4 linked regions of the Pelodiscus sinensis genome follow. The main gene of each other region encodes a partner of the protein of the gene in region 4 in a complex. Links are inferred from orthologs where the notes say so. Each region holds a gene or a part of one and is shown on either strand. Other genes may lie near its edges. The genes, in order: EXOSC1, EXOSC8, EXOSC4 and EXOSC3.

The links.
Region 1: EXOSC3 (region 4) and EXOSC1 share a complex: the UniProt entries of both Homo sapiens proteins name them as parts of the RNA exosome core complex. The link is inferred for Pelodiscus sinensis from reciprocal best matches to the Homo sapiens genes EXOSC3 and EXOSC1.
Region 2: EXOSC3 (region 4) and EXOSC8 share a complex: the UniProt entries of both Homo sapiens proteins name them as parts of the RNA exosome core complex. The link is inferred for Pelodiscus sinensis from reciprocal best matches to the Homo sapiens genes EXOSC3 and EXOSC8.
Region 3: EXOSC3 (region 4) and EXOSC4 share a complex: the UniProt entries of both Homo sapiens proteins name them as parts of the RNA exosome core complex. The link is inferred for Pelodiscus sinensis from reciprocal best matches to the Homo sapiens genes EXOSC3 and EXOSC4.

Annotation. Positions count from the first base shown.
Region 1 is NW_027465990.1:87,996-95,684, reverse strand, and holds the start of EXOSC1 (exosome complex component CSL4), read right to left. Parts: upstream 3,137-7,689; 5' UTR 3,072-3,136; coding exon 3,002-3,071; intron 2,787-3,001; coding exon 2,671-2,786; intron 1,470-2,670; coding exon 1,395-1,469; intron 759-1,394; coding exon 670-758; intron 372-669; coding exon 338-371; intron 1-337. UniProt on the Homo sapiens protein: Non-catalytic component of the RNA exosome complex which has 3'->5' exoribonuclease activity and participates in a multitude of cellular RNA processing and degradation events.
Region 2 is NC_134711.1:294,865,682-294,873,499, forward strand, and holds the start of EXOSC8 (exosome complex component RRP43), read right to left. Parts: upstream 3,029-7,818; 5' UTR 2,931-3,028; coding exon 2,695-2,930; intron 2,649-2,694; exon of another isoform or gene 2,454-2,648; intron 1-2,453. Other genes in the region: ALG5 (dolichyl-phosphate beta-glucosyltransferase), read left to right, coding at 5,554-5,692. UniProt on the Homo sapiens protein: Non-catalytic component of the RNA exosome complex which has 3'->5' exoribonuclease activity and participates in a multitude of cellular RNA processing and degradation events.
Region 3 is NW_027465833.1:42,568-50,522, forward strand, and holds EXOSC4 (exosome complex component RRP41), read right to left. Parts: upstream 3,131-7,955; 5' UTR 3,081-3,130; coding exon 2,910-3,080; intron 2,480-2,909; coding exon 2,273-2,479; intron 1,338-2,272; coding exon 978-1,337; 3' UTR 539-977; downstream 1-538. UniProt on the Homo sapiens protein: Non-catalytic component of the RNA exosome complex which has 3'->5' exoribonuclease activity and participates in a multitude of cellular RNA processing and degradation events.
Region 4 is NC_134718.1:14,179,528-14,186,897, reverse strand, and holds the start of EXOSC3 (exosome complex component RRP40), read right to left. Parts: upstream 3,120-7,370; 5' UTR 3,063-3,119; coding exon 2,781-3,062; intron 1,813-2,780; coding exon 1,663-1,812; intron 1-1,662. UniProt on the Homo sapiens protein: Non-catalytic component of the RNA exosome complex which has 3'->5' exoribonuclease activity and participates in a multitude of cellular RNA processing and degradation events.

The sequences.
Region 1 (7,689 bases), on a different chromosome or scaffold from region 4:
ACTGCTGCAGAGAACCCAGCAAGCCCCATTACCTTGAGAGCAGCCCAGTAGCCACAGGCAACATAGCCCTGTGGGCGCTGACTCTGGTACCATGCAGCAGGCCCCACAAGAGGCAGCCAAGAACCCCAACCCTCCAGCTCAGCCTGTCCCAGTGAGGGGAGTGGGGTGCCCTCTGAGATGAGGGGTCAGCAAGCTCCCCTCCCAGAGGGAGCCACCTCAGGAGCTGGGGCTGAATGGGGTGAGCCATGCCTGGGGGTTTGGCCTGGGCCGCATGTGCAGGGAAGAGGGTGGCAGCCAAGCGCTGGGCAGAAACAGAAGCAGGCAGCAGCCGACTGACCTTGTCTTTCTCTGTGGCTCGAATGTCTTCTCTCCTGTAAGAAGAGACAGCGAGATCTCAGCCCGCGCCTGCTGGGCCCAGGGCCACGCTCGCCTCTCTGGAGACGCAGCCCTGGCTGCCCCATCAGGGCTTATGCAGCCGTTCCCCAGGACGCGGCCCGGCACTGGGCAGAAGGCATTAGCTTGCAGGAGCCAGTCTTAGGACAAGGGGTGAGCTGCAGGGCAGCAGAGCTGGCTCTGTTCCCCAGGCAGGGCTGGGCATACATTGGTAAAGTACAGGGGGAACCACCCTCCCCCAGACCCTGGGGATGGGCCCGTGAGGTCAGGCCTTACCGTATGGTACCTCGGAAGGTGGATTTCAGCGGCGTGGAGCCGATGTAGAGGATGCGCACCTTGGCAAAGCGGGAGTTAATGCTGCACACCTGTGGGGAGAATCTGGCATGACCCCCCAGCTAAGCATAGCTCCCCCAGGCACCCAAGTACTGGGCAGCAAGACCAGCAGGGACTGGCCCCGCCCCTGCTCCACTGTAGGGGAACTAACCTAACCACCCACCCACAGCCAGTCAGAGCCCCCCGTTCCCCTGCCCGGTGATCGACTCACTGCCACACTCCGCTCCGGGGAGAGCTTGCAACTCCCAGCCACACCCACCTGCTTCTCCCAACCAGCAGCCTATTCCCCTCCAGGCTGCCCCCGGAAGCCCCTTGGTGGAAAGCAGGAATTCGGCCTCCATGGCCTCTAGGCTGAGGGTGCCAATGCCAGCGATGGAGGGGGCACCGCGCCCCGACACTTGGTTCCCAGAGCAGAGTGGGCTGGCTGGAACTGGTGCCAGGGAGCCAAGAGGCTCCCTGCCTCTCACAGAGCCACCCCGGAGCCCGCCAGCCCCTTGCGGAGAAGCCTGGCATGAGGCAGAGAGGGGATCAGCCAGAGGTTGAGCAGCAGAGGAGGTTTGTAACCCTTTCCGGTCCTTGCACAGGCATCCGGCCTGCCCTCCCCCCACCGAACGCGGCGCTCCTGCAGCAAGAGACCCAGCAGCGGAGCCGGCCAGGCAGGCGTTTACCTTGCACGTCACAATGGCCCCCACGTCGGGCAGGAGCTGGGACTCGACGTCTCTCACCACAGACACCACCGGCAGCTGCACAGGCGTAGAGAGGAGCCCTTGGTTAGCCCTGTGCCTGGCACGGCCACCTCCCACCCCCACAGAGCCAGTGTCGGCATACCACGTCCACCAGGCCCGGCCCAGCCCGGCCAAGCACTCGTCCCTGCATGCTTCAGTTACGTGTTTAGTCATCCTCCGTCATGTGACCTACTCCCCGCTTTTCACAGGACTCAAATCTTGAATTTCAGATCAATGAGCTCTCCTGGGTGGTCTCTGGCCAGACTGCCTGTCTCTCCTGTGCCCGAAAGTGTCACCCAGAAAAACTACCAACTCTCTAGAGCTACTTTCCCCCTAGACTCGCTTCCATGGGCTCTAGCCTACCAACTCCCCGAGTTACTCAAGTCTGCCTTCTTGAATCCCACTGTCGCTCTTGGGCTGGCCTTTCCCACCATTCCTTACCTCGCCACTTCCTGTTCGCTTTCACCCAGGCTGCCTTCCACTCTCAAATTCTCAACCAGCTCCTCCCTAGTTGTCAAAATCAAACCTAGAGCAGCCTCCCACAGATGCTTTCTGCAATACACTCCAGACTCCTCTTGGATGCCCTGTGCCCTGCTGCCTTCTTTTCCCAGCCGGGGACGTAACAGTGCAACCGCTTAACCCATAAGCCTCAACCCCGCCGCTCACAAGCCTCAGCTGATCAGTTTCCGTTTCGGTTACTCGCTGGCTCCCTGGGAGGCTCCACTGTGGGTTTTCCGTATAAGTGTTATACCGCACAGCCAGCAGCACGTGACCCTGGGATCTGGAGCGGTCACATTGTTAGGTGGCTTTTGAGCTCCCTATTCCCAAGAGATGTCCTGGCCGCTGAAGTCCCCCATCACTAGGGCCCTGCAAGCCCATGGGTAGTCTCAGGCATCCACACCTGCGGATGTCAAGGCGGCTCACTTCACATCCACAGGGTGGGTCAAAACCCCTCAGCCCCTTTCTGTCCTGGCTAGGAGGCCTGCAGCAGACACCTCCCATGACATCGCCCTTCGCCTGCCCCAGAGACAGCCAGTCTGCCCGCGTCCATGGCCTCAGGCCGAGCACCCCCCCCGGCAAGCTGCACCCCCCGTGCCCAGACGCCCCCCCCCGGCAAGCTGCACCCCCCGTGCCCAGACTCCAGCGGGTCCTCCGGGGGCGGGGCACTCAGGTGGGGGCGGGGCTTGCAGGGGGCCAGCAGCAGGACGCCCCCCCTCACCTCTCCGTCCCGGCGCGTGGTGAGCAGGCCGCCGGCCAGCGCGGCGCACACGGAGCCCAGCCGGGTGTAGGTGCCGCTGCCCGGCGCCGCCTCCTGCAGCCCGCAGAGCCGCTCGCCTGGGGACAGCAAGCGTCAGCCCGGCGGGGGGGCACGAGCCGGGGGGGGGCGGTGAGGGGGGGAGGGGCGGTAAGGGGAAGGGGGCGCGAGCCGGCGGGGGGGGCAGTGAGGGGGAGGGGGGCGCGAGGGTTAAGGGGGGGTAAGGGGAGGAGGGGGCGCGAGCCGGCCGGGACGGTTAAGGGGGGGGCGGGGAGGGGGAGGGGGAGGGGCTCACCGGGCACGCAGCACCGCGCCGGCCGGGCCATGCTGCCGCTCCGCAGCTCCCCGGGAAGGAAGTTTCCCATTGGCCGGTGCTCCCACGTGACCGCTACCGCCTGCGGGGAGGGGACGCCGGCCAGCGCGGGGCGCTTCGGGAGTTGCAGTCTGGAGCGGAGAGACTACAGCTCCCGGCATGCTCCGCGGGGCGCGCCGCGCAGGCGCAGTGAGCCTCAGGTACCGGGGTGATGCCCGGCCGGCGGTGAGGGCTGGGGCCGGGGCAGATGGAGGCGGGGTGCGGGCCGGCAGGTAAGGGGGGCGGGGCGGGTATCTCGCGGAGGGGGCGGGGGTTCCGAGGGGGCGGGGCGGAGGGTTCCAGGGGGAGGGGGTGTCTCGGAGGGGGGCGGGGGATTCCAAGGGGGCGGGGCGGAGGGTTCCAAGGGGGCGGGGCGGGGGGTTCAGGGGGGAGGGGGTATCTCGCGGAGGGGGTGTCTCGGAGGGGGGCGGGGGGTTCCAGGGGGAGGGGGTATCTCGCGGAGGGGGTGTCTCGGAGGGGGGCGGGGGGGTTCCAGGGGGAGGGGGTATCTCGCGGAGGGGGTGTCTCTCGGAGGGGGGGCGGGGGGTTCCAGGGGGAGGGGGGTATCTCGCGGAGGGGGGTGTCTCGGAGGGGGACGGGGGGTTCCAGGGGGAGGGGGTATCTCGCGGAGGGGGTGTCTCGGAGGGGGACGGGGGGTTCCCAGGGGGAGGGGGTATCTCGCGGAGGGGGTGTCCTCGGAGGGGGGGCGGGGGGGGCGGGGGCTGTCTCCCTCTGTGGCCCCCAGGCAGTGACGCCCCCCTGTCCGTGCCCTCGCGGGAGGCTCTTGCTGCAGGGGGCTCTGCAGACCCCCATGTCTGTGGCCCGGCCGGGGGTTTGGGCACCTGGCTCGGCTCACGCCCCCCAGGACCAGCGGTGGGTGGGTACCTCCCCCATCCGCGGCGGAGAGGCCCCGAGCACACACTGGTCGTCCTGCAATGGACACGCTGGGGTGCAGCGCCCTCCGAGCTGCCTGCCAGGCGGGAGACACAGAGGCCTGGTTCCAGGGTGATGGGTGCATCAGAACAGCCTCGGGTAGACGAGATCCTCTGCCTGTGGGATTCCCACCCGCTGCACAGCACCACCCTTAGCCCGCACCCTGGCCTGGAGACGCCAGCCCAGCAGAGATCGGGTGCACCTGCTTTAATTCACCGCAGTATTTTCTGAAATCGGATGCCTCCCTTTTCGGTGGGGCACGTTCAAAAGACAGTGAGAACCCCCCCGCCGGCTGTGCGTGATACCCCTCCCCCCGTCAGCCTTCCCAAGTAAAACATTCGCTGAACATCCCGGCCAGAGAAAACAGAGGGAGAGCTGCCCCAGCCCCACATGCCGGGGCTGGAGGAGCCGGCCTGGGAGGGAGTATTATAGGGCCGCAGTGGGGAGAAGGGCCTAGTCTGGGGCAAGGCTGAGCGCTGCAGGAGACAGGCCTCTGAGAGGCAGGGCAGAGGCTTTGTTCGGCCAGTCCTCCCCAGAGACAGGTGCTAGTTAGGCCGAGAAGCCGGCTCCAGGGCCCCTGCTTGGGCTGCCTACTCGACACGCTGTGCTCAGCTCTGTGCCTGAGCCCTGCTGGGGGCAGCCTCTCCTCGTTGATGCTGGGTGTGCCTCAGGGAGGTGGCTCCATGCCCGGGCAGGCTCAGGTTCCTCCTCACTCCAGCTGACTGCAGGCCAGTGCGCACAGCTCAGCAGGCAGGTGAGCAGCCTGGTAGGGCCCCATGCCCACTGCCCCCTTTGGCCAGCTCATCCTGCTTCCGCCCAGGGGCTGTGCCTTGGCTTCCAGGGCCGCCCTGCACTGAATTGGACTCGGGGGTGGACAGAGATCACACCCCTGGCTGGGGCTGTGCGCAAGCAGCTCCCAGGGCCGGGTTCAGGAGGGAGGTGGGAGATGGGGTGGTGGGCTTTTAATGCCGCCTGTCCCCCCCTGCGGGCTCCCTGGCTCTGAGCGCCAGGGTCTCTGGCGACGCTGGCAGCCTGTGAGTGCCCTGAGCTCCGTCTCTGGTTTCTTCTGCGTCTGGGCCAGTGAACACCTGAGCCGGGATGGGGGCAGGGAGCAGAAGGCTCTGCGCTCCTGTGCCCCAGGAGCCGGGCTCATTCCCCTTGCTGGGCCCACCAAGGTCTCCGGCACCCCCGTCCCGACCCAGAGGGGTGGCTTGTGCCTGCCAGGGGGCACTGCCAGCAGGGCAGAGGCAGAAACCCTGCCAGAGCAGGGAGCTGAAGGCGGCCCAGCGCCACGCACGGCCGGGGAGTGAGCCTGTGAGTCTCTTCCCGCTGCTGAGCACTGGCCCAGTCCGGGGGACGCTGCCCCGGTGCGGAGGGCAGGTCCGGGTGGCGCTGAGCCGGGCTCTCTCCGCAGACGGTGCGCGGTGGGGATGAGGAGCCGCCAGCGGGCGTTCTCCGCGGTGATGCGCCTCTTTCTGAAGTGCCTGCGCGTGGGCCGGCGACGCAGGCTGAGGCTGGTGTGGCGGGTGCAGCAGCTGTGGCGCTACGGGCGCCTTTGCCTCCACTCCCTGCTCTACAACTCCTTCACCAACAGCGACGTGCTGCTCGACTCCCTCTTCGAGCCCATCTACTGGCTGGTAGACCATGTCACCCGCTGGTTTGGGGTGGTAAGTGCCTGGCGGGGGGACAGCCCTGGGCTGGCGGTGGGGGGCCTGGCGGGGGGACAGCCCTGGGCTGGCGGTGGGGGGCCTGGCGGGGGTGACAGCCCTGGGCTGGCGGTGGGGGGCCTGGCGGGGTGAGAGCCCTGGGCTGGCGGTGGGGGGCCTGGCGGGGTGAGAGCCCTGGGCTGGCGGTGGGGGTGCCTGGCGGGGTGAGAGCCCTGGGCTGGCAGTGGGGGTGCCTGGCGGGGGGACAGCCCTGGGCTGGCGGTGGGGGGCCTGGCGGGGTGACAGCCCTGGGCTGGCGGTGGGGGGCCTGGCGGGGGGACAGCCCTGGGCTGGCGGTGGGGGTGCCTGGCGGGGGGACAGCCCTGGGCTGGCGGTGGGGGGCGTGGTGGGGGGACAGCCCTGGGCTGGCGGTGGGGGGCCTGGCGGGGTGACAGCCCTGGGCTGGTGGTGGGGGGCGTGGTGGGGGGACAGCCCTGGGCTGGTGGTGGGGGTGCCTGGTGGGGGGACAGCCCTGGGCTGGCGGTGGGGGTGCCTGGTGGGGGGACAGCCCTGGGCTGGCGGTGGGGGTGCCTGGTGGGGGGACAGCCCTGGGCTGGCGGTGGGGGTGCCTGGCGGGGGGACAGGCCTGGGCTGGCGGTGGGGGGGGCCTGGCGGGGGGACAGCCCTGGGCTGGCGGTGGGGGGTGCCTGGCGGGAAGACAGCCCTGGGCTGGCGGTGGGGGGACAGCCCTGGGCTGGCGGTGGGGGGCCTGGCGGGGTGAGAGCCCTGGGCTGGCGGTGGGGGTGCCTGGCGGGGGGTGACAGCCCTGGGCTGGCGGTGGGGGTGCCTGGCAGGGGGACAGCCCTGGGCTGGCGGTGGGGGGCCTGGCGGGGGGACAGCCCTGGGCTGGCGGTGGGGGGCCTGGCGGGGGGACAGCCCTGGGCTGGCGGTGGGGGGGCCTGGCGGGGGGGACAGCCCTGGGCTGGCGGTGGGGGGCGTGGTGGGGGGACAGCCCTGGGCTGGTGGTGGGGGTGCCTGGCGGGGGGACAGCCCTGGGCTGGTGGTGGGGGTGCCTGGCGGGGGGACAGCCCTGGGCTGGTGGTGGGGGGTGCCTGGCGGGGTGACAGGCCTGGGCTGGCGGTGGGGAGCGTGGGGGGGGACAGCCCTGGGCTGGCGGTGGGGGGCCTGGCGGGGGGACAGCCCTGGGCTGGCGGTGGGGGGTGCCTGGCGGGGGTGACAGGCCTGGGCTGGCGGTGGGGAGCGTGGGGGGGGGACAGCCCTGGGCTGGCGGTGGGGGGCCTGGCGGGGGGACAGCCCTGGGCTGGTGGTGGGGGTGCCTGGCGGGGTGACAGGCCTGGGCTGGCGGTGGGGAGCGTGGGGGGGGGACAGCCCTGGGCTGGTGGTGGGGTGCCTGGCGGGGGGACAGCCCTGGGCTGGCGGTGGGGGGGGCCTGGCGGGGTGACAGGCCTGGGCTGGCGGTGGGGGGGCCTGGCGGGGGTGACAGCCCTGGGCTGGCGGTGGGGGGGCCTGGCGGGGGGACAGCCCTGGGCTGGCGGTGGGGGGCCTGGCGGGAGGAGGCCTGGCGGGAGGACAGCCCTGGGCTGGCGGTGGGGGGCCTGGCGGGGTGACAGGCCTGGGCTGGCGGTGGGGGGCCTGGCGGGAGGACAGCCCTGGGCTGGCGGTGGGGGGCCTGGCGGGGTGACAGGCCTGGGCTGGCGGTGGGGGGCGTGGCGGGCGGACAGCCCTGGGCTGGCGGTGGGGGTGCCTGGCGGGGGGACAGCCCTGGGCTGGCGGTGGGGGGGCCAGGCGGGGTGACAGGCCTGGGCTGGCGGTGGGGGGGCCTGGCGGGGTGACAGCCCTGGGCTGGCGGTGGGGGGGCCTGGTGGGGGGACAGCCCTGGGCTGGCGGGGGGGGGGGGCCTGGCGGGAGGAGGCCTGGCGGGAGGACAGCCCTGGGCTGGCGGTGGGGGGCCTGGCGGGGTGACAGGCCTGGGCTGGCGGTGGGGGGCCTGGCGGGAGGACAGCCCTGGGCTGGCGGTGGGGGGCCTGGCGG
Region 2 (7,818 bases), on a different chromosome or scaffold from region 4:
AAATACACCAATTTAGTAATTCAACATTATTTTTAACATAGAATGTAATGTTTCAGATTGTTTTCTGCACACTCCCTAAAATGACACAATTTTTCAAATCACAATAAAGTTGACCTAAGTTGCACAATTCCAGCTATGTGAATAACATAGCTGAAGTTGACATACTTTAGGTCGACTACTTGCAGTGTCTACACTATTCTGGTTTGATGGGATAAACTCTCCCATTGATTTATTTTATGCATCTTGTTCTAGTGGAGTACCAGACTCACTGGGAACACATTTGGCAGTTGATTTAGCAGGCCTTCACTAGACCCACTAAATCAACCACTGGTTGATTTATTGCTGCAGCATGGATCCACCTGGTAGTGGAGACAAAGGCTAAAACAGAGAACAGAAAAACTGAGAAGACACAATGTTCCACAACTAGAAACTGATACAACACTGTTTGCAGCACAGTTAATCTTTGACACAAGGCCCTCAAGTTTTGTTCAAACTAATGTTTTTGAAGACAAATTATGGAAAAGGTAACTCAGAACTTTTATTACATTTTCTAAGCCAACATAAATCGGACATATGTATGACAATTTACAAGCAGAAGGGTAATGTTAATGTCAGTATTCCTTGAGCTATCCCCAGTTAGCATAGACATAAGGGCTGTGTCTACATTGGCATGAATTTCCGGAAATGCTTAAAACGGAATACTATTCCATTTTCAGTTTTTCCGGAAAAGGAGCATCTACATTGGCAGGTTACTTTTCCAGAAAAGCCCTTTTTCCGGAAAAGCATCTGTGGCCAATGTAGACGCGCTTTTCCGGAAAAGAGCCCCGATCGCCATTTTCGTGATCGGGGCTTTTTTCCAGAAAAGACTACTGGGCTGTCTACACTGTCCCTTTTCCGGAACAGTGTTCCGGAATAAGGACTTATGCCCGAGCGGGAGCAGAATAGTTTTTCCGGAATAGCGGCTGATTTTGTACAGTAGAGCATCGTTGCTTTTCTGGAAATTCAAGGGCCAGTGTAGACAGCTCACAGCTTATTCCGGAAAAGCAGCTGATTTTCCGGAATAAGTGGCCCAGTGTAGACACAGCCAAGGGCTAGACCTCACTGGCTCAGGCAATACAGGCAGTCCCCGGTTTACATACAAGATAGGGACTGTAGGTTTGTTCTTAAGTTGAATTTGTATGTAAGTCGGAACTGGTACATATTGTAGGGGAAACTCTAGCCAAACATTTCTCCAGAGCTCAGTTTTATTCTCCCACACCTCACTTCCCTCAGTTCTTTATTCTTAAGCTGAGGTGTCTGCTGAGAAAAGCCACTCCGCGTTTCCCTGGTCTGCTGGGGGGAGGGGGGACGACGCGCTAGCTTCGCATCTCCCTGGTCTGCTGGGGGGAAGCAGCTAGTGTGGGGTTGCCTCACCCCGTTTGTAAGTAGGGATCCGATGTAAGTTGGATCCATGTAACCCGGGGACTGCCTGTACAATCTACTGTGCCCCATTTAAAGATTGAGACACACAGGAGAGAAGCAAAGAGAGTTGGATCAATGCAGAAATCTTTCTTTCCCAAACACCTGGGACTCCTTGTTCAATCAGTTCTTACACTTAACTCCCATTTTCTTCTAACTGTCCTCAGATGGATTCCTCCACTCCAGCAACTCTAACATTTGGTCTTCATATTGATTAGGAACAGATTACAGTTGCTATGATTTCTACCAAGACTTTTCCTCTAACATAGACAAAGACCCACATTTCAAAATGCCTTAGCTGGCTATGACAACTCACTTTTTTGGCAAAACATATGATGCAATGTAACTCAGAACCATAACTGCTGTAAGGTTTAGGGATGTGGGAAGAATAATGTATTTCTGTAATTCATTGAAATTGAAAGAACTTTTCTGTAGCAAACTGCAATGTTACATTGAAAGTGAATAATTTGGAGAGAGGGTGTAGTGAGGTAGAAAGTTGGTCTCTCCCTTAACACTGTCTGGCTGCTAAAGGGCACAGTCCTATTACTGACCCAAACCCTTAATTCAACAGCAGTTACAGCTATTAAGTCTTTAGTTTTGAAATCTAGATAAATTCAGATAGAATGAAATATACAAAATCTAAGAATTAAGTCAGTTTAAGAGGAGGGGAAAACCGAATGTTGATTTTACCATAGCGAGTAAGGGCCTCAATTACAATCCTATAAATAATTCTGCACAAGCATCGTGCTATAAGTATGGGGAGCCCCAGTGAACTCACTAAAATTAGTCACAGGCAAAAAAAAGTGCACGTGCCACGTGCTTGCAGGAGACAGGCCCTCGATTGCCAAGACCACGAATGACAAGCGGTGGGTGGACATGCTCTGCCAGGGAAAAGTGAGAGTTGGGGGGGAAGGGGCGGTGTATTTCGTCCCCGCCCCCACTCCCAAGGCGGGCTGTTGAGAGCAGGCGCTGCAGACAGGGCGGGGGGAGCGGCCCCTCACAGCCGCCAGGAATCGGTTCCCAAGCTCGGGCCTGGCAGAGCTCGGGGCCCGGCGTGCGGCGAGTAGCCACAGCCAGGGGGCGCCACATGAAGGCTAAACCCTCTGCACCCGGGCACCGCCCGACGCCGCTGCGACCGCCGGGCCTAAGGACTCGGCAGCAGCCTGGGCGAAGCCGCAGCTCCCGCTGAGGTGACTGAAGGCGAAGGCCAAAGAGCTTGTTCGCTCAGTCTCTTACTTGAATCCGGCCGCCATAGTCCCGCTTCCGCCCCTGCGCGATCTACTTCCGGTTCCGGGGGGGACGCACTTCCGTGCCCCTTCCTCCCCCATCTGCCCCTTGGGCGGATGCTGGCCGGGAGGGGCGGAGGTTTCCCGGCAGGGGGCGCTGTGGGGCCCGGGCGCTCTGAGAAGCGGCTCCTCTCGTCGCAGCGGTTTGTTGTCAGGGCCGCTTCCGCCTCGCTGGAGCTGCCCCATAGGCCGCGCCCGGCATGGAGCATGGAGCCGCTCCTGGCTGACGTGGCCGCCGCGCTCGCTGCCTTGGCAGCCGCAGCCCTGAGCCTGGTGAGTGCGGCCCCTGAGGGGCATCGCGCCGCTCACGGGGCAGCCCCCGACTCAGCTGAGAGCCCCTCGCTGGGCGCGGCCCCGCCCCCTTCCGCGGGGGGAGCAGCCCAGCGCCCCGACCGGCAGCGGGACGGGACCCCGGCGAGGGGCGCTGGGCGGGAGGGGCCACGCTCCCGCTCCCCCGCACGAGACTGCCTGGGGCCACAGGCTCGGCCCGGCCCGGATGGGCGGTCGCAGCTTTAGACCCGCTGCAGTGTGGGGCTGGAAGGAATCTCACAAAGCCCAGCCCTTCTCCCCGAAGCTAGACCGTGTAACCCCTCGACTGTCCCTGACGGGCAGGTCGAGTGTCCAGCACGCTCTTAATAATGGCCCAAGGTGGGGATTCCACAGCCTGCCTGGGAAGCCATTTCTCTTAATATCAAGCAGTTCTCCTTTGCTGCAGGCCACTACTTTTTGTCCTTCACAGGATGTGCAGAACAGTTGTCCCTTTTCTTACAGCCCTTAGCGTATTTGAAAATTGTTATCAGGTTGCCCCTCAGTCGTTTTTTTAAAGATTAAGCAAGCCCAGGTTTTTTTGTTATCTGTACTTGTAGGCCAGGATTTCTAAGCTTTTATATCATTTTTGCTGCTCTCCTCTATGTTACCTGTAATCATTGTAGCATTTAGTTTGAGGATAAAACTACACTTTTCCAATTTTAAGAAAAATTGAACCATTTAAATACTGTATTTTGTTCAAAGAATTTGGTAGCTGTGTTAGAGAAGCTAGCAGGACACATTAGTAAGTGCAGGCAGTGTGTGTGTGTTGTTATATGACATAGATGTAAACAGTCCCTGCCCCAAATTCATTACAGTCAAGAAGATGAAAATGAGGGGGTGTCTAGATTACATGCATCTGATGAAGTGGGTCTTTGCCCACGAAAGCTTATGCTCCTACACTTCAGTTAGTCTATAAGGTGCCACAGGACTCCTCGTCGCTTTTGTAGACTACATCTGTCTTTCAACAGGATCTTTCAAAAAAAGCTTCTATTTTCGAAATTACCGTGTCTAGACTGCAGTTTCACTTTTGAAATAGCGCTTTTTCGAAAGAGCACCATGACACAATTATGCAAATGTAGTGCAGGAAATTCAAATCCTGGCTTCATTTGCAATTTCGAAGTGTCTAATTGACATGAGATTTCAGACACTCTGGAGACTCAGAAGTAGGATATATGACATGCAAACATATTACCTATATATTTAATACATTTTTCTCCTCTTTCCTTCTTCACTTACTTTTGTAAGTCATAAGATTTCATTCCACAGAGATGTTAAATGATAACATCCATAGGGATGTTAAATTTTGATTAATTAATTAATCGAATAGTTGATGGGATTTCCATCGACTATTCGGTTAGTCGATAAGAACGTCCATGTTCCACCTTTGAAATGCACAAGAGCCCCCAAAGGACTCCCTGCTATGAAAGAGGCAGCAAGGGGGCGGAAGCGACTAGTCAACTAGTGTGTCGACTATTCGCTAACTTTTGCTTATCGGATAGTCGATTAATCACTTACATCCGTAATTCCACAGTTACTGAAGTTTATGATTACTGCAAATTATGGTGGCCTATCTCTTAATTCAGCAGTATTTCTTTCTAGTTAGTCTGCTCGTAGTGGTAGTGTTGTGTGAGTTATATGTGTGTGTGTATGGTATTTTTAATGGAAAACAAAAGTTGTTACTTAATTGCATTATTTAATATCAGTTTTATATGTGATAAGATTTGCTTCTTGTATGGACTTGCTTAATATTAGAGATGTTGCTGCTAATGCTTGCTATGCTCTAGATTTTTAGTTAATTATCAACTAATGCAGTGGGTATAGCTACAAGATTTAGAACTGTTGTGCACCAGGGTCTAGAAAATGTTCACTGGGTCAAATTTATGGTGGCCTTTTCTAGTTGAAAATTTCATTTGCAACTTGCTGGGAACCTGGAGCCATATCCTGTGTAGATAAAATGGAACCACTAAATGCCATATAAAGACTATAAATCATAACCGGTAAAGTTCCTTTTTGATCTGTGCAGCAGATAAAAGAGCACTCCTCAATGGACCCACTTTACCATGGTTGTTAGAGCCATCCTATCCATAGGGTGAGCTGGGGCAGCCGTCCAAGGCCCTGTGCTTTGGAGAGGGCCCTGCGGCTCCTCCATCCATCCTATGGACAGGAGGTACCTGGGAGATTATGGGGCTTGGGAAGGGAAGAAGCAGGGCTTGTAGGATGGGGCTTACCTTGGGCTGCACAAATGGGGTGAGGGTTTCCCCAGAACCTGTGACTCCTTGGGATGACCCTGATGGTGTAATAGGAATGACTTTAAATTACTCGAATGTAGACCACAGATATGATTGACCATCCTTTGTTCAGTAAATTAGAATAGTTGAACACCTAACCAAATGTGGTTATGCAAAAAATGAATATAGCATTTGCTTAATGCAACATTGTCATAAATACCATTTCTGTTTTTTCACAGATTACTATTGTTGCCCATATAACTGCCACAAAAATGCCAAATCTTCATCGACATGAAGAAGAGAAGTTCTTTGTAAATGCTGAAGGGAAGAAGGAATCTATACCAAGCATACATGACCCCCCTACAAAGGAGCTTTCTGTTGTTGTGCCTTCATACAATGAGGAAGACAGGTGTAAGAATATTTCTTGGTTTTCTTTTTGAGAGACAAACTAAGTTTTGTGTTGCTGGTGAATGTCAGCAACAGAAAATTGCAGATTATGTAGCCATTTTGCTTACCAAGTTTTCAGGTCGCAATCAAGTAAATGGAGTTGTGCATGTAGAGCTTCTATAGAGTCCAGACATGCTTTTTTAGTGACAGAAATTAAACTACTTTCTGCAAAAAACAATTTTTACTAAAACTGTGTAAAATAAAGGTAGACATTTATTAACTAGGTTGCTGAAAGATTACAAAAGCCACTTTAAGCTGGTCTTCAGTGACTCTTAAAGTCAGTATGGGAGGTTAGGAGTAAAAATATCCATATTGGTTTTTTTTAGAATTTCACACTCTGGAACTTATAGCAGGGGCTTTAATCAGGCAGAAGGAAGGAAGAATGGTCTTGTTTAGGAGATATGGATTCTATTCCTGGCTTTACCATGTACTTCCTGTATGATCTTGGGCAAGTAATTTAGCCTTAACTTATAAAGGTCCTTCTGATGTGAAAGAGTTGTAAGCTGGAGGCTGTCTACTTACTGCTGGCACTGCAGATCATGTTGTTGTCTTATCTGTCTCACTGCAGTAAGAGCCACCAGAAGGAGTATGTATGTATTGTCCTTGTCTATAAATTGATCGGCCACAAGAACAATAGGTGCTGTCTCGGGGTATGTTTAAACTGCAATGAAAAGCCAGCTGATGTGGGCTCGTAGGGTTCGGGTTGCAGTACTGTTTTATTGTAGTGTAGACTTCCCAGCTTGGCCTGGAGCCTGAGCTCTGGGTTCCTCCCACCCTGCAGGATGTGCCTGGCTCTAGTCTGGGGGATGGGATGGGATGGGAGGGGAGGGGAGGGGAAGGGAAGGAAAGGAAAGGAAGGGTGGTTGGGTTCGGGGGGGGGAGGGAGAGGCGTGTGCACGGTGTCCCAGCCAGCACATCTCAAGGCCGGCCACTCAGCGCACACACCCCGGCACCTGGAGGGAGACGCGTCTAGCTGTTAGTGGCGGCTCCACCTCCAGGACCTGAGAATTAGATTAGAGTGGGGGGGAGGGGGATTGGTATTGAGGGGGGCCCGTGCCTGGCTCTGGGGAGGGGAGAGGAGGATTGGGTTTAGGGAAGTGTGTGTTCCTGACTCTGGGGAAGGGGAGGAGTATTGAGTTGGGGGGGATGTTCCTGGCTCTGGGGAAGGGGAGGGAGATTGGGTTAGAGCCCGGGGTGGATCCTTGGGGGAGGGAAGGGGAAGAGCAGGCAGCAACTTCCTGAGACCCGGGATCCCTAGGTACTGGCCCCAGCTGTCTCTGTCCCCTCCTCCTGGCCAGACCCCCCCCCCCCCCCCATGAGTACCCTGCCCCAGCACCCTATCCGCTGCCCCCAGCAGCACAGTTGGGGCCACATTAGTGAGGGTTGGGGGGTTTGGGAGGAGTTGTTTTTTTGCATCTCACTTTTGTGGCCCTGACTGACTTTTCTGTGGGTCAGTGACCCCTGACTCAAAACAGGTTCCCCGCCCCTCTCATAAATAAAGACAATGCTGAAACATTTTGTGTTTGACATATTTTATTTAAAAATGAAGCCTGGCCAACAAGCCCCCAACTGGGGCCAGTTCTCCATCTGGCCTCAGCATCATAACACTCTTGCACCTCCCTCCCCTCCAGGCCCCAACCTGAGCCTATCATTCACTGGAACCCCCTGTCCTAAGCCTCTCACATCCCCAAACTCCTGCACACCCTCATCCCCAGTCTTCTGCCACAACACTCCTGCACCATCCACACCTGCAAGTCTGTGTCCTGAGCCCATCATACTCTCAGCTTCCCTGCCCTGATCCCCTCATGCACCCCAGCCCAAACTCCTGTACCCTCACAGCAACAAGCCTGTGGCTTGCTCAGCACCCCAAGACTCCACCTGACCCCAACACTGTCCAGCCTAGAGCCCTCTCCCTGAGCCAGCATCCTCTTCTCTACTTTTTCCTGCACTCAAATTCCCTCCCAGAACTTGCACCTCTCACCCTTTCCCAGTGCTTCTTTTTGTGAGTCACAATAGCAGTGGAGACAGCATGAAGAGCCGGGGTAAAGTTGTTGAGCCAAAAAAAAAAAAAAGGCTGGGCTGCAAAGACT
Region 3 (7,955 bases), on a different chromosome or scaffold from region 4:
TCAGACCCGCTGCTGCTGGTGGAAGAGAAGCTTTTGAGCGACCTCTCTGGATCAGGATTTCCCCTGGCCTTGCTCCTCTGGGCAGATGGGTGCTGGGGAAGCTCGGGGCTTAGGCTACTGGTCACCTGGGAATGGCTTTCCCAGACCAGCTTAGGCCACTGGCCTTGCACCAGAAGCATCTCCTCTAAATCAGCAAGCACTGGCAGCTTTGCTGGCACGAAGCCTGGCAGGCCAGGGAGTGATGGTGACAGCAGGCAGGCTGTGGTGCCTAGGGAGCCGTCCTACCAGCCCCGGGAGCAGCGTGAGCAAGCAGAGGGGACGTCTGGGAGGGGAGGTTCCCCGATTAATCCTGTGTGAGCTGGAGTCTTCCTAGGAGCTGTCATAGGCAGGGACCAAGCCACAATAGAGACGGGTACAGCAGAGCCCCCATCTCTCCTCCAGCACTGGGGACGCGCCAGACTTCGCATGGGCCGTATCTTCAGCAGCACTGGTTCTCTGCTGCCCTGCACTCAGCCAGGGGGTAGCCCACACAATACAATTTCCACCAAAACAATGTTTTATTTACAGCAGTCCCCTACAAAGGAACAGACACTGATATCTACGGATCGAGCAGCTATCCACCGGGCCACGCGCCCCAGCCTCTCGCAGCGCCTAGGAGAATGGGAGAGGCCAACAGCCCAGGAGTCAGCAGCCATGGCTACAGATCCAGGAAGCCATGTCAGGGCCCATCACCCAGCGAGGAACACCAGGCTTGACAGACGCCGCGGGGCATTCACATGTACCAATGTGATATTAGCGCCCAGCAGAGGTGCTCAACCTGGGCCCAGTGTGCACATCGGAGAACAAAGCAGCTGGACAAAGGGGCAGTGTTGGCATGGGCTTTGGCTGAATCGATCCCTGCGGCGGCCACGGCAGCGCTCCCTGTCCCCACCCACAGTCACGTGCAGCACTGGTTCTAGGCACACAGGCCTGTGCGCTCACTCCCCCAGCAGCGTGGTGACCTCGTGCACGTGCTCACGCACCACCTGGTCCAGCACAGCGTAGACATCCTTGCAGGCCTTGCTGGCAGCCTCGATGACCTGTTCCAGGTGGTCCTCGTGCAGCCGCGAGTTCATCTCCAGCAGGGCGATCTGGTCCGACTTAGGCAGCAGGGCCAGAGCCACTTGGGGGCCCCCAGCTGCCTCCTCCACGTAGTTGAGGTCAGCCAGGGGCGTGTCCTCGATGAAGCCGGCAGAGCTGGCGCACACATAGTCTCGCATGGGGATGCCTGCGTCTATGGTGGCCAGCGTGGCCGCGTTCACACAAGCACAGTAATTCCCACCGTCTGCCTGCAGGATCTGGGGAGACAGAGCACTCAGCAAAGGGAGCAGAGGAGGCTGCACCTGAGCGACTCTGCATCTGGCCCCACAAAGCTCAGGACTAGACCTTTCATGCCCACAACCCTCCTTAGAAAGCAGCATCACTGGCTTGTGAAACAACATAAGCCCTGGGCAGACGCCCCTTCACCTGGCACTGCTGTCTAGGCAGCCCAGGGAACCAGTGGGGGAGTGAGCAGAACGCACATGGCTGATCCCTTCCGGAATGCTACACAAACAACCTCCCCACACTAGTGCAGGAGCCAGCAAGCGCCCCACACAGGTCACCACCTCCTTCCCCAATGGCTCAGCTGGCTGAAGGCCCAGATGATTCCTCATGTCCCATGGTCACCCCATGGTGAGGCCCACACAGCACTGAGCAAGGCTTGAAACCCCTTCCCCCATACTCCAGGGAGCTACTCCAGGCAACTGGGGTCAGGCACAGCAGAAACCAGGAAGCTGCCAGCTCCGTATGGGGAGCTGGGTAAACCACAGAGCCAGCAGCCCACGGCTACAGGCCCATGGCTCGGGGGGGGGGGGGGGGGTGCGGGTACAGGCCCCTGGCCGGGGGGGGGGGGGGGGGTGCGGGTACAGGCCCCTGGCCGGGGGGGGGGGGTGCGGGTGCAGGCCCCTGGCCGGGGGGGGGGGGGGGTGCGGGTACAGGCCCCTGGCCGGGGGGGGTTCAGGCCCCTGGCCGGGGGGTGGGGGGGGTGCGGGTACAGGCCCCTGGCCGGGGGGTGGGGGGGGTGCGGGTACAGGCCCCTGGCCGGGGGGTTGCGGGTACAGGCCCCTGGCCGGGGGGTTACGGGTACAGGCCCCTGGCCGGGGGGGGTTCAGGCCCCTGGCCGGGGGGGGTTCAGGCCCCTGGCCGGGGGGGGGTTCAGGCCTCTGGCCGGGGGGCGCTAGGTGACCCCTACCTGCACGTAGATGTCGATCTGGGAGCGGGGGTAGAGCCGCGTGAGGATGGCCGCCTCGAAGGTCTGCTTGAGGTGCAGGGTCATCTCGCTGGACTTGCGGTCGCCGTGGGGCCGGCGCTTGCGCTCGCCCGTGCTGAAGGTGGCCATGCTGTACTGGCAGTTCACCAGCGCCCGGTCGTGCAGCGCCTTGCTGCGGGCGCCGCGCATCTGCAACGGCGGGACACGCGGGCTGCAGCGCCGGGCGGGGGGGGGCTCCCGGCCGGACTCGCTCGTCCCGAACACGGGCCAAAGCCCGGCGGGGAGGCGGCTCGCGGGGGGGTCACCCCGCCCCCGCCCCCGCCGGGCAGAGCTGCGGGGCTCCGCAAGGAAGGGGCTGGGGGGAGGGGCCGCTTCCGGCGGGAGGAGCCCGCGAGGGGAGGGCCCGTTTCCGAAGGGGGGGGCCCGCGGGGGGAGGGCCCGTTTCCGAAGGGGGGCCGCTTCCGGCGGGGGGTCGCGGGGGGCAGGGGCCGCTTCCGGCGGGGGGGCCCGCGGGGGGCAGGGGCCGCTTCCGGCGGGGGAGGGGACACGGGGGGAGGGGCCGCTTCCGGCGGGGAGGCCCGGGGGGGGAGGGGCCGCTTCCGGCGGGGGCCCGGCTCACCTCGTGCGGCCCGTACACGACGGCCAGCGCCTTGGTGTTGCCCTGCTCGATGTAGGCGGAGCCGTCGGCCTGCGCGAAGACCCCCATGCGCGCGCGCACCTTGCGCAGCTCCCCGGCCCGGCGCCCGTCCACGCGGTAGCCCTGGTCCGACAGCAGCTCCAGCCCCGCCATGGCCCCGGCCCCGCCCCCTTCCCGGCCTGCCCCGCGCCCGGCCCCGCCCCCTTCCCGGCCTGCCCCGCGCCCGGCCCCGGCTCCGCCCCTTCCCGGCCGGCCCCGCGCCCGGCCCCGCCCCCTTCCCGGCCGGCCCGGCGCCCGGCCCCGCCCCCTTCCCGGCCTGCCCCGCGCCTAGCCCCGCCCCCTTCCCGGCCTGCCCCGCCCCCGGCCCCGCACCGCCCCCTTCCCGGCCTGCCCCGCGCCCGACCCCGCACCGCCCCCTTCCCGGCCTGCCCCGCGCCCGGCCCCGCCCCCTTCCCGGCCTGCACCGCCCCCGGCCCCGCACCGCCCCTTCCCGGCCTGCCCCGCGCCCGCCCCCGCCCCCTTCCCGGCCGGCCCCGCGCCCGTCCCCTTCCCGGCCTGCCCCGCGCCCGCCCCCGCCCCCTTCCCGGCCTGCCCCGCGCCCGGCCCCCGGCCCCGCCCCTTCCCGGCCTGCCCCGCGCCCTGCCCTGCCCCCGGCCCCGCCCCTTCCCGCCCCCCTTCGCGGCTGGCCCCGTCAGGCGGGCGGGCGAGTGTTCCGGTCTGTGCCGCTCCGCCTTCCCACCCGGCCCTGCCTGCTGGTGCCTCAGTTTCCCCGCGCAGGGGGGGGAGGGGCCGGTGCCCCAGTCAGACGGGGGGGGGGTGGCTGCACGGGCAGGTTCAGCCCGAGTGGGCGCTGGCGGGAGCCCCAGCGCGGGAACTCGGACCGGGCTCCTCGCGCAGGGCGGCCCTGCCCCCGCTCAGGGATCAAGCCCTGCCCCGCTCAGGGATCCGGCCCCTGCCCCCGCTCAGGGATCCGGCCCCTGCCCCGCTCAGGGATCCGGCCCCTGCCCCGCTCAGGGATCAGGCCCCTGCCCCCGCTCAGGGATCAGGCCCCTGCCCCGCTCAGGGATCCGGCCCCTGCCCCGCTCAGGGATCAGGCCCCTGCCCCCGCTCAGGGATCAGGCCCCTGCCCCGCTCAGGGATCCGGCCCCTGCCCCCGCTCAGGGATCCGGCCCCTGCCCCGCTCAGGGATCAGGCCCCTGCCCCCGCTCAGGGATCAGGCCCCTGCCCCGCTCAGGGATCCGGCCCCTGCCCCCGCTAAGGGATCAGGCCCCTGCCCCGCTCAGGGATCAGGCCCCTGCCCCCGCTCAGGGATCAGGCCCCTGCCCCCGCTCAGGGATCCGGCCCCTGCCCCCGCTCAGGGATCAGGCCCCGGCCCCGCTCAGGGATCCGGCCCCTGCCCCCGCTCAGGGATCAAGCCCTGCCCCGCTCAGGGATCCGGCCCCTGCCCCCGCTCAGGGATCAGGCCCCGGCCCCGCTCAGGGATCAGGCCCCTGCCCCCGCTCAGGGATCAGGCCCCTGCCCCGCTCAGGGATCCGGCCCCTGCCCCCGCTCAGGGATCAGGCCCCTGCCCCGCTCAGGGATCCGGCCCCTGCCCCCGCTCAGGGATCCGGCCCCTGCCCCGCTCAGGGATCAGGCCCCTGCCCCCGCTCAGGGATCAGGCCCCTGCCCCGCTCAGGGATCCGGCCCCTGCCCCCGCTAAGGGATCAGGCCCCTGCCCCGCTCAGGGATCAGGCCCCTGCCCCCGCTCAGGGATCAGGCCCCTGCCCCCGCTCAGGGATCCGGCCCCTGCCCCCGCTCAGGGATCAGGCCCCGGCCCCGCTCAGGGATCCGGCCCCTGCCCCCGCTCAGGGATCAAGCCCTGCCCCGCTCAGGGATCCGGCCCCTGCCCCCGCTCAGGGATCAGGCCCCGGCCCCGCTCAGGGATCAGGCCCCTGCCCCCGCTCAGGGATCAGGCCCCTGCCCCGCTCAGGGATCCGGCCCCTGCCCCCGCTCAGGGATCAGGCCCCTGCCCCGCTCAGGGATCCGGCCCCTGCCCCCGCTCAGGGATCAGGCCCCGGCCCCGCTCAGGGATCCGGCCCCTGCCCCCGCTCAGGGATCAAGCCCTGCCCCGCTCAGGGATCCGGCCCCTGCCCCCGCTCAGGGATCAGGCCCCGGCCCCGCTCAGGGATCCGGCCCCTGCCCCCGCTCAGGGATCCGGCCCCTGCCCCGCTCAGGGATCAGGCCCCTGCCCCCGCTCAGGGATCAGGCCCCTGCCCCGCTCAGGGATCCGGCCCCTGCCCCCGCTCAGGGATCAGGCCCCTGCCCCGCTCAGGGATCAGGCCCCTGCCCCCGCTCAGGGATCCGGCCCCGGCCCCGCTCAGGGATCCGGCCCCTGCCCCGCTCAGGGATCCGGCCCCTGCCCCCGCTCAGGGATCCGGCCCCTGCCCCCGCTCAGGGATCCGGCCCCGGCCCCGCTCAGGGATCAGGCCCCGGCCCCGCTCAGGGATCCGGCCCCTGCCCCGCTCAGGGATCCGGCCCCTGCCCCCGCTCAGGGATCCGGCCCCTGCCCCGCTCAGGGATCCGGCCCCTGCCCCCGCTCAGGGATCCGGCCCCTGCCCCGCTCAGGGATCAGGCCCCGGCCCCGCTCAGGGATCAGGCCCCGGCCCCGCTCAGGGATCAGGCCCCGGCCCCGCTCAGGGATCCGGCCCCGGCCCCGCTCAGGGATCCGGCCCCGGCCCCGCTCAGGGATCCGGCCCCTGCCCCCGCTCAGGGATCAGGCCCCTGCCCCGCTCAGGGATCAGGCCCCTGCCCCCGCTCAGGGATCAGGCCCCTGCCCCGCTCAGGGATCCGGCCCCGGCCCCGCTCAGGGATCCGGCCCCGGCCCCGCTCAGGGATCCGGCCCCGGCCCCGCTCAGGGATCCGGCCCCTGCCCCCGCTCAGGGATCCGGCCCCTGCCCCCGCTCAGGGATCCGGCCCCTGCCCCCGCTCAGGGATCCGGCCCCTGCCCCGCTCAGGGATCCGGCCCCTGCCCCGCTCAGGGATCCGGCCCCTGCCCCGCTCAGGGATCAGGCCCCGGCCCCGCTCAGGGATCAGGCCCCGGCCCCGCTCAGGGATCCGGCCCCTGCCCCCGCTCAGGGATCCGGCCCCTGCCCCCGCTCAGGGATCAGGCCCCTGCCCCGCTCAGGGATCCGGCCCCTGCCCCGCTCAGGGATCAGGCCCCTGCCCCCGCTCAGGGATCAGGCCCCTGCCCCCGCTCAGGGATCAGGCCCCTGCCCCGCTCAGGGATCCGGCCCCTGCCCCCGCTCAGGGATCAGGCCCCGGCCCCGCTCAGGGATCAGGCCCCTGCCCCCGCTCAGGGATCAGGCCCCGGCCCCGCTCAGGGATCAGGCCCCTGCCCCGCTCAGGGATCAGGCCCCTGCCCCGCTCAGGGATCCGGCCCCGGCCCCGCTCAGGGATCCGGCCCCGGCCCCGCTGCTCTGGCGCAGGAGGCAACAGGAATTCCTTGGGGCAGGAAGCCCGGTGGCTGAAACGGCCCCTGGAGCGTTCTTGCGGACGAGAGCGTCGGCACTGGCACGGATGCTCTTGCACAAAAGCACGTCTCTTGTGCAAAGGCACGTGCCAGCGTAGACACGCTCTTGCACAAGAACTCTTGCATTAAAAGTATTTGTGCAAAATCTTGCCAATGTAGCCGTAGCCTGGCAGCAAAGGGTGGGAGGCGGGTGCTTCAAAGAGCAGCGCCCGGGGTCAGCTGACCCCCGCTCCCCGTAGCATTTCAAAGTGGCAGTGGCGCATGGAGCCGGGGCCAGCTCAGGACTCTGCATCCCCTGCTGGGGACTCTTGTACATTTCAAAGCTGGCACCCCTGGGCAGCCCAGAGTCAACAGGACTCCCACTGGCCATAGGCTGCACACGGATTCCACAGGCCTCTGACATATACAAGAGGTCCCGGGGGTGGAGCCTCCTGTACATTTCAAAGGAGGAATCCGGAAGTTCCTATCAACTAGTCAAGTAGTTAAGGAAATTCCATTGACTACTTGTGACGGACCAGGCCGTGTCTGGGCACCGCTGAGGGCATCCGCTCAGGGCGAATTGCTCAAATTTGGGGCCCTCTATTGCCCCCAGCCTGGAGACCTTCCCAAACCAGTTGCATAGAGCACTTCAGTTGCTTGCCTGGCCAGTCAGAAGCCTCACGAACAAAACCCCTCCAATACCCCAGCAATATCCATGCCCTAGATGGCCCCGCCCTCATTCACAGGTGAGGGGGTTTAGGACCCAATCCCACCTACCCCAAACAAGTTCTGTCCAGTTCCAAGAAACCAGCCGCAGATCCCTGGTCAATTTACATTCTGGGTGCGGCTACACTGGCCACAAGTATTTGCGCAAGAACACTGACTTTGTAATGTATAAAATCAGTGGTTCTTGTGCAAATACTCCGATGCTCCTGCTCAGGGATAAGCCCTCTTGCGTAAGAGGCCAGTGTAGACAGCCACATTAATTTCTTGTGCAAGAAAGCCCGATGGCTAAAATGGCCATCAGAACTTTCTTGCGCAAGAGAGCGTCTACACTAGCACGGATGCTTTTGCGCAAAAGCAAATCTTTTGCGCAAAGGCACATACCAGTGTAGACGCTCTCTTGCGCAAATACTTTTAATGGAAAAACTTTTCCATTAAAGGTATTTGCGCAAACTCATGCCAGTCTAGACACAGCCAGTCTAGAAGCTGAGCCAATCCTTTAGAATCTAAAATCTAAGGCTGCGTCTAGACTGGCATGATTTTGTGCAAAATCTTGCCAGTCTAGATGCACCCTAAAGGTTTATTACTAAGAGAAAGAAAAGCCCGAGAGTGAGGTTGTTAAAGTATCCTACATTCCATGCATCGAATCTCCCAGTTCTCGATGCAGGCTCTAGCAGAGATGTTATAACTGCTGGCTTAAAAGTCCTTGGTGCACATCCTCTGTGCAGACGGGTCCACAGTTCTTTCCAGCTCGTTGATCCCTGCAATGCTGCATCTAGGATGAAGAGTTGAGCATTCTTGGGGTGTGTCCTTGGCCT
Region 4 (7,370 bases):
AGGCACGAGAATTCTCTCCCTCCTATAAAGTAGGGTATCACAATCAGATCCTGATACAATAGGTTAATTAATGGCCTCATCCCACACTGAAACTGCTACATGCAAAGACGCTTACCCTGTAGACTTGAAAATGTTCCATCTCTCTCTCTGCTGTTTGAACTCTGATAGGGCCACAGGCTTTAAACTGAAGCAGAGATTCCCAGAGGTTTCCCCTAAATCTGCCCTGAAGGACACTTGGAATTGACAGATTATTACAACATTCGTACTTTTAGGATTTAGATAATGGTTCATTTGTGTGTACAGGCTTGCTTATTTAACTTACAATGAACTCATTTCCTTTTCCTAGTTAACAAACCTTTAGATAAAACTTAAACAACAAACGGTCCTGCCGCACCTTAGAGACTAACAAAAAAAATGTAGATTGTTTCATGAACTTTCAAGAGAACAACCTACTACATCTCTGAGACTTTTAAACCTTTAGATAGCTTATTAGAGGATTGGCTACAGGCACTGTCTTTGGTGTAAGTTCTAGAGTACCAACTAAGGATGTTAAGAGATGGGTAACTGACTAATTGTGTAGTCGATACAATTTGTATTGACTTCACGATTAATTGATAAGGGAAGGTGCTCAGTCCCAGCTTGTGCTGGTTCAGGAGCTACCCTCACTGCAGCTCTGCAGTTTAATTGTAGGAGCCAGGTGCACAGGCAGAGCTGCAGTGGTCCCTGATCAGCACAAGCTGGAATTGCTTGGTCCCAGCTTGTGCCAGGTTTGCAGTGGGCAGAGCCTGCTCTGTGGCAGCCTCCCATGTCCCCTGCTGCTGTCTCTATCAGTGGGGATAAGGGGGCAGGCAACACTGGGGAAAACCAGCTTTTAAGCCGACTCCTGTTTCCTCCCCCTTGCTGCCTCTCATGCAGAGGCACTAACGGGGATGGGAAGCGACAGGTACTACTCGCCTACATCCCTAGTATCAACTGATCTGGGGTAAATGATTGTCTTGTGGACTGAAAGCAACAAAGCAACTTGAACATGGTGTGATTTTTGGTGTAACTAACTATTTATCATTAAGCTCCTCTTGTCTGGGTGGCAAGATAAAGAATGTCTAAGGGAACTGTCTATGATCCAGGTGTTCATATTTGTTACTGAGTTGGTGACATTTAATTATATAATTCATCACCAGTTTAACATGTCTGCCCTGTTTCATAGTCTGCCCTGAGTTAGGTACTATAGTCGAGAGCCACTCAAGACAGCACGACAGTCACATTTTGTAAGAGCCTGTTTTATGTAACCTGAATTCTAGGCCTAAATTGATCTCAGACTCTCTCTTTGAAGAGCTATTCTATCACAGAAGTGCCATTTCCTCCCTGTGACACAGCTGCACACCCTCTGTATAATGAATGGCAAAATCTGGCAACTAATACTGTGATAGTCAGTGATCAAAGGAAGAAAATCCCTCCCTCTGCCAGGGTCCAACATAAAAGCTAGGAGAAAAGGCAAAGAAAATGTTTGTACATTTCACTAAAAATCTATTATATACCAGAACATCTTTTGACTAAGATACGGATAAATATATGAGGAAATTTTAATTGTCAATTTGCAAGAAAGTGAAAACACAGTATTTTAAGGGCTTTGATAGTGCCAATATATATATATAACAAAATTACCTGCACATTTGGCCTGTTTCTTTTGGTTGCACCTTCAAATGCCAAGTAGGACAAAGATGCTTGCTCACTTCCACCAACATCCACTTTGAATATATCACCTGCTTTGATAGTCACTATGCCTATCACATGATCTCCCTTGACTGGTACATACTGAAAATGAAAACAAACTTTAGGATTAAGACATGTAACAAGAGAAACATATCGTTCACGCGCACGCGCGTGTTTGTGTGTGTGAGGGCTCATTGGTTAACCCTCTCTGTAACGTGTAGCCCCCCCGCACTGCTGCTTCTGATACAGAGGCAGCAGTGCAGGGAGGGAGGACGGAGCCACTACCTCAGTGGTCACCAACCAGTAGATTGGGATCTACTGGTAGACCTTAGAGCCTCTGACAGGTGATCCTGACTAGTTTGGCCAGGAAGCTATCAAGCACTGGCACTTCAGTTGCCCCTCCACCCACTGTCATGCTGCTCCTGCCCTCTGCCTTGGAGCTGCTCCCCCCCCCCCCGCCGAGCCTCCTGCTTGCTGTGCAGGGTGTCTCTCCTCTCTCCACTTCCACAGAGAAAAGGGGATGGAGGGAGCTTGGCAATGTAAATCTGTCACTCTCCTACACTATGTGTGCCTGTCATTCTCACAGGCACACACTGTCCTTCACTTTCATCTCCCAACCCAAAACATACGTGTGTGCGGGGGGGGGGGGGTGATTTCTTTTACTGCTTGCAAAGCGTGTGATTTTGGGTTGTTGACTGGTCTGTGCATTTCATCCTTTTCATTTCTCTCTGAGTTTAAATGTAATTATTGGAGCAGCCAGTTCTAAAATGCCGAACCTACTGGAGTTATTACCCCAATGGCAACTGCTGCTCCTGGAAGTGGCTTAATCCTGCAACCAGAGGCGCTTCAGGGGCACTAGCCCTGCTCCAGTGAATCATGTCAGTAGCAATGGGCTCTGTCTTTAGCGCTTGTGCCCCGCCACACTCGCCCCTGGGGGGAGGGGCAGGGCGCAGACGTTGGGTCGATCACGCGGCGGGTTCCACGGAGCGGGAGGTAGCGCGCGCGGGGGGGGGGGGGGGGGAGGAGACGTTGGCCGCACGCGCCACCCGCCGCCGCGCGCGCGCGCTCACCCGCTTCTGCTGGGAGTCCACCCAGTAGGCGCCGCCCGAGCCGCCTCCGGCCCCGCCCGACGGGCGGTGGCGCAGCAGCCCGCACTTGGTGACCAGGAGCCCGGCCCCGCAGCGCCGCAGGCCCGGCCCGCACACCAGCCGGCCCGGCAGCGCGGCGCTCGCGCCCAGCCACAGCCGCTCCCCGCCCGCCTCGGGGTGCGAGGGCAGCAGCAGCACATCCCCCGGCAGCACCACCTGCCCCACGCGCTGCTCGGCGGGCAGGGCCCCCTCCTCGGCCGCCATGGTCGCAACGAGGGGGGACGCGTGCGCCGAAAAGCGGCGGAGGGAGGGGGTAGCGGGTCCATATTGCGCATGCGCACAAGTCTGGCTAGGGCCTCAGCCGGCAGAATGGGCGGGGACGTCACTCCGAACAGCCCCGCCCGGCGGCGCGTGCAAGCCCGAAGACCCGGAGTGAGGTTCCTGTAAGGAACTGGCTTGTACATTACCCGGCCTGCGGTAGCGCTGCAGGGGAGCAGGCCCGCTTGTTGCGATGGGCGGGTGCCAGCCGAACTGTGCACAACCCGCACGTCTCTGATTCGCCTGTACAAACTGCTAATGTTAAACTAGGAAGCTGGAGTTAGAAAACGGAAAACTCATGTCCCCCTGAATTGTTAACCACTGGCGACATCACCTGGCCAAATAAAGATACCAGGGGTTCATTAGTATAACTGTCAAATTGTCTTGCCAATTCACCTGCCAATTTTCTGCCATGATATTAAATAAAAAGAACCCCAAGGCTATGTCCGCACTGCAGGCTTCTTGTGCAAAAAGTTCTTGCGCAAGAGCGTGTTCACGCCCCCATGTGCTTTTGCACAAGAGATGTGCTTTTGTGCAAGAATGTCCATGGAGTGTGGACGCTCTCTTGTGCAAGAAAACTCTAATGGCCATTTTAGCCATAGGGGTTTCTTGCGCAAGAAACCCCTTTTCCCGTCCACACTGCTTTCTTGGCAAGAGCTCTTGCGCAAGAGGGCTTATTCCACAGGGGGGAAAGGAATAACTCTTGTGCAAGAAGCTCTCTCTTCTGATGCTTTACTGTAAATTTACTTGTGCAAGAACACACGTGCAATGTAGACGCTACGCACGTTTTTGCGCAAGAATAGGCAAAAACATGTAGACTTCTACATGGCAGGCTTCTTGCGCAAGAACTGTTTTGCGGAAGAGTTCTTGTGCAAAAGGTCTTCCACAAGAGTGCGTCCACACTGCCATGAGCTTTTGCAAAAGAGATGTGCTTTTGCAGAAGAGCGTCCATGGCAGTGTGGACACTCTCTTGCGCAAGAAAGCTCTGATGGCCATTTTAGCAATAGGGGTTTCTTGCACAAGAAATTCATGTTACCCCATCTACACTGCCTTCTTGTGGAAGAGCTCTTGCGCAAGAGGGCTTATTCCTTGTGGGGAAAGGAATAACTCTTCCGGAAGAAGCCCTGTTTTCTGACGCTGTACTATAAATTTACTTGTGCAAGAACACACGTGCAGTGTAGACGCTCTGCAAGTTTTTGCCCAAGTAGTGTAGACATAGCCTAAGTTTATTTGCTTATGAAAAACGTACCATGAACATCCAGAATACTGATGAAAATAGCATAAGATAGATGTAATAGAAAACTTTTAATTCTGGATTTCAGAAGTTTCAGGGCAGAAGAAATCCCACCCTTGGAGTAGTGAGCATGGATAGTATAGACCTTAGCCAACTGCCACAAACTCAGACTATGTGGGTATGTCTAGACTACATGGCTCCGTCGACGGAGCCATGTAGATTAGTTTACTAGACATAAGAAAATGAAGCGGCAATTTAAATAATCGCTGCTTCATTTACATCAAAATGGCTGCCACGCTGTGCCGATCAGCTGTTTGGTGGTACAGCGCGGTAGTCTGGACGCTCCATGGTCGACGAAGGAAGCACTTGTTGACCGCCCCGGTAAACCTCATTCTATGAGTCTTCCCTTGTCGACCGCAGAGCGTCCAGACTACAGTGCTGTGCCGCCAAACAGTTGATTGGCACAGCACGGCAGCCATTTTGATGTAAATGAAGTGGCGATTATTTAAATTGCCACTTCATTTTCCTATGTCTAGTAAACTAATCAACATGGCTCCATCGATGGAGCCACATAGTCTAGACATACCTTGTGTTTGTGCCTTCTCCAGTATCACATTCTGTAGATGCATCCCTAACCTAGTGCTAAAAACTGTGGCCCACTGTGCAGCGACAGGAAGGGGTCAGCTCCAGCCTCCCTGGGCTTCCTGCCCACAGGATATCAATTAAGTGGTTAACTGTAACATTTAACAAGTTAATTGATTAAATGGGATTTTGCATTCCTTTGTTTTGGGGTATCTTCTGGACAGAAGTGGATGCCTTATGCAATATGCTATTATGTACTGGGTCCTTCAGGACAAGGGGCTGATATTGTGGGGATGTAGGAGTCAGGGCAGGGCCTTGGGAATGTGTGTGTGTGGAGTTCTGGAGGCTGCGGGGGTTAAGAAAGTGAGGGTTGGGGGATAAAGGGAAGCTCAGGGTGGAGGAGGCCCATCTGGCACAGGCCTTTTCTCTCCCCCCTTAGATCTCCTCACTGCTGCCAGGGGCTGTCCCCTTTCCCCCGTGCTGTGGCCAAGGGCCAGGAAGAGGGAAAACAGTTTAAAGGATACTTACTTGGCTTGCTGGCAGGAAAAATGGCAGAGCCCCAGCCCTGCTTGTCACTCCCTTGATTGTACAGCTGCCCCCAGCAGCTACTCTCATATTGTGTCCCTCTGAACAGCAGTCTCTCCCTTTGCATGTTATGGAAAACTGTCCTTTTCCCCGGGCTTTCAATTGTCCTGGCACAACCAAACCCAGACCTTGCTTTAAGTTAGGTGAAGAGGGAGCTGCACTCCAAATTTGGTGGCACTAGCTCTTACCCTTTAGAAGGACTTCTTGAACAAATGGACTCGCAGACAGACACACACACACACACACTCTAAAATATATACGCAGATAAAGACGGAATGGATGGTGTGTGTTCTGCCATTTACCATCTTAACTGTAGTATGCAGTAACTACTTACTATGCAGTTTTAGCTAATTGTAGATTTAGGGTTTTCTTCCAGAATTCCACCTGACTTCAGGAGAAGTTACATTCAATTGAGGGTTGTAAATTACCTTTCTAGAGAAGCATAATTAGCTATAAAATAGCCTTCTCTTCCTCTCCCTTACCCCATCTGGAATTTCTTACATTATGAAAAGCCAATTTACAGGCTGACTGAAGCTCTTCTATTTAGAGAGAGGGAAGTCACATGCATAAGTGTGTTATGGTGTTTTAAAATCATACATTTTTATTGAGGAATCCCCCCCCCCAACAACTTTTCATCAACATTATTTTGACTGAATACATTAAAGAAAACATGATTTTTGACACTTCATTCAAATTGGTTCCAAAGTATGCATAATAATAATAAAAAACTATAGACAACTGAATGTACAGGATAAAAGGCTTTTAATATCTCAGATTTTAAAATATGATATGTCACAGGAGCGGTGTTAAACTTTATTAAAAACTTCATATAGTTTAAACAAATTCTAAATTTAGTATGTGCACAGTTGCAATTATTCAGAAGATATTTTATGCAATTATTTAACTAGAAATTCAAGATGCTGTTTAGGCAAAATGTAAAGTTGCCAGTTCCATTTGCCTTGTGCCTGAGTTTTAGCTAAAATCTAACCTTTTAAAAAACTGTTCTAAAGGATACACTATTTCCAAAATTAGCAATTACAGATATAGTAATCAAATTGGTATCTGTGGCCCATCATGAGCAGAAAGGAAGACTCTTTCGTACTCATATCCAGAGCACTGTATACAAGAAGACATTAATTTAGTCAATTCACATACCTTATTTTTTGTCTTTATATTAATTTCAGGTATTCACTGGATACATATTTGTCATGTGTAACTACTGTATCTTTGGTTTTCATGTCTTATTCATTCCTAGGTTTGCTGTGTTCTACAAGTCACCTCATCAAGCTTCATAGGAGCTTTGCTTGCTGTGTTCTCAATTAGGGTATGTCTACACTGCATTCCTCTTTCAAGAGGGGAATGCAAATGCAGCTGAGCGAAATTGCAAATGAAACGTGGATTTGACTTTCCCATGCTTCATTTGCATAATCGTGTCCGGGCGCTATTTTGAAAAAAGAAACCCTGTCTAGATGCGGTTACTTCGAAAGAAATCCCTTCTTTCAAAATTACTCTTAAACCTCATTTTATAAGGCGTTGGGGAATTTCGAAAGAAGGGTTTTCTTTCGAAATAACTGCGTCTAGACAGCGTTTCTTTTTTCGAAATAGAATATTTCGAAATAGCGCCTGGACACGATTATGCAAAAGAAGCACGGGAAATTCAAATCCATGCTTCATTTGCAATTTCGCTCAGCTGCATTTGCAGTCCTCTCTCAAAAGAGGAATGCAGTGTAGACATACCCGTAGTGATTCACTCAGCTCACTCTCACTCATGTATTGAGTCATCTTGCCCCTCAGTTTTATCTCTTGATGGTTCTTGGTTTGTTTCAACAGCTTCACCACTTGCCAAAGTGTCC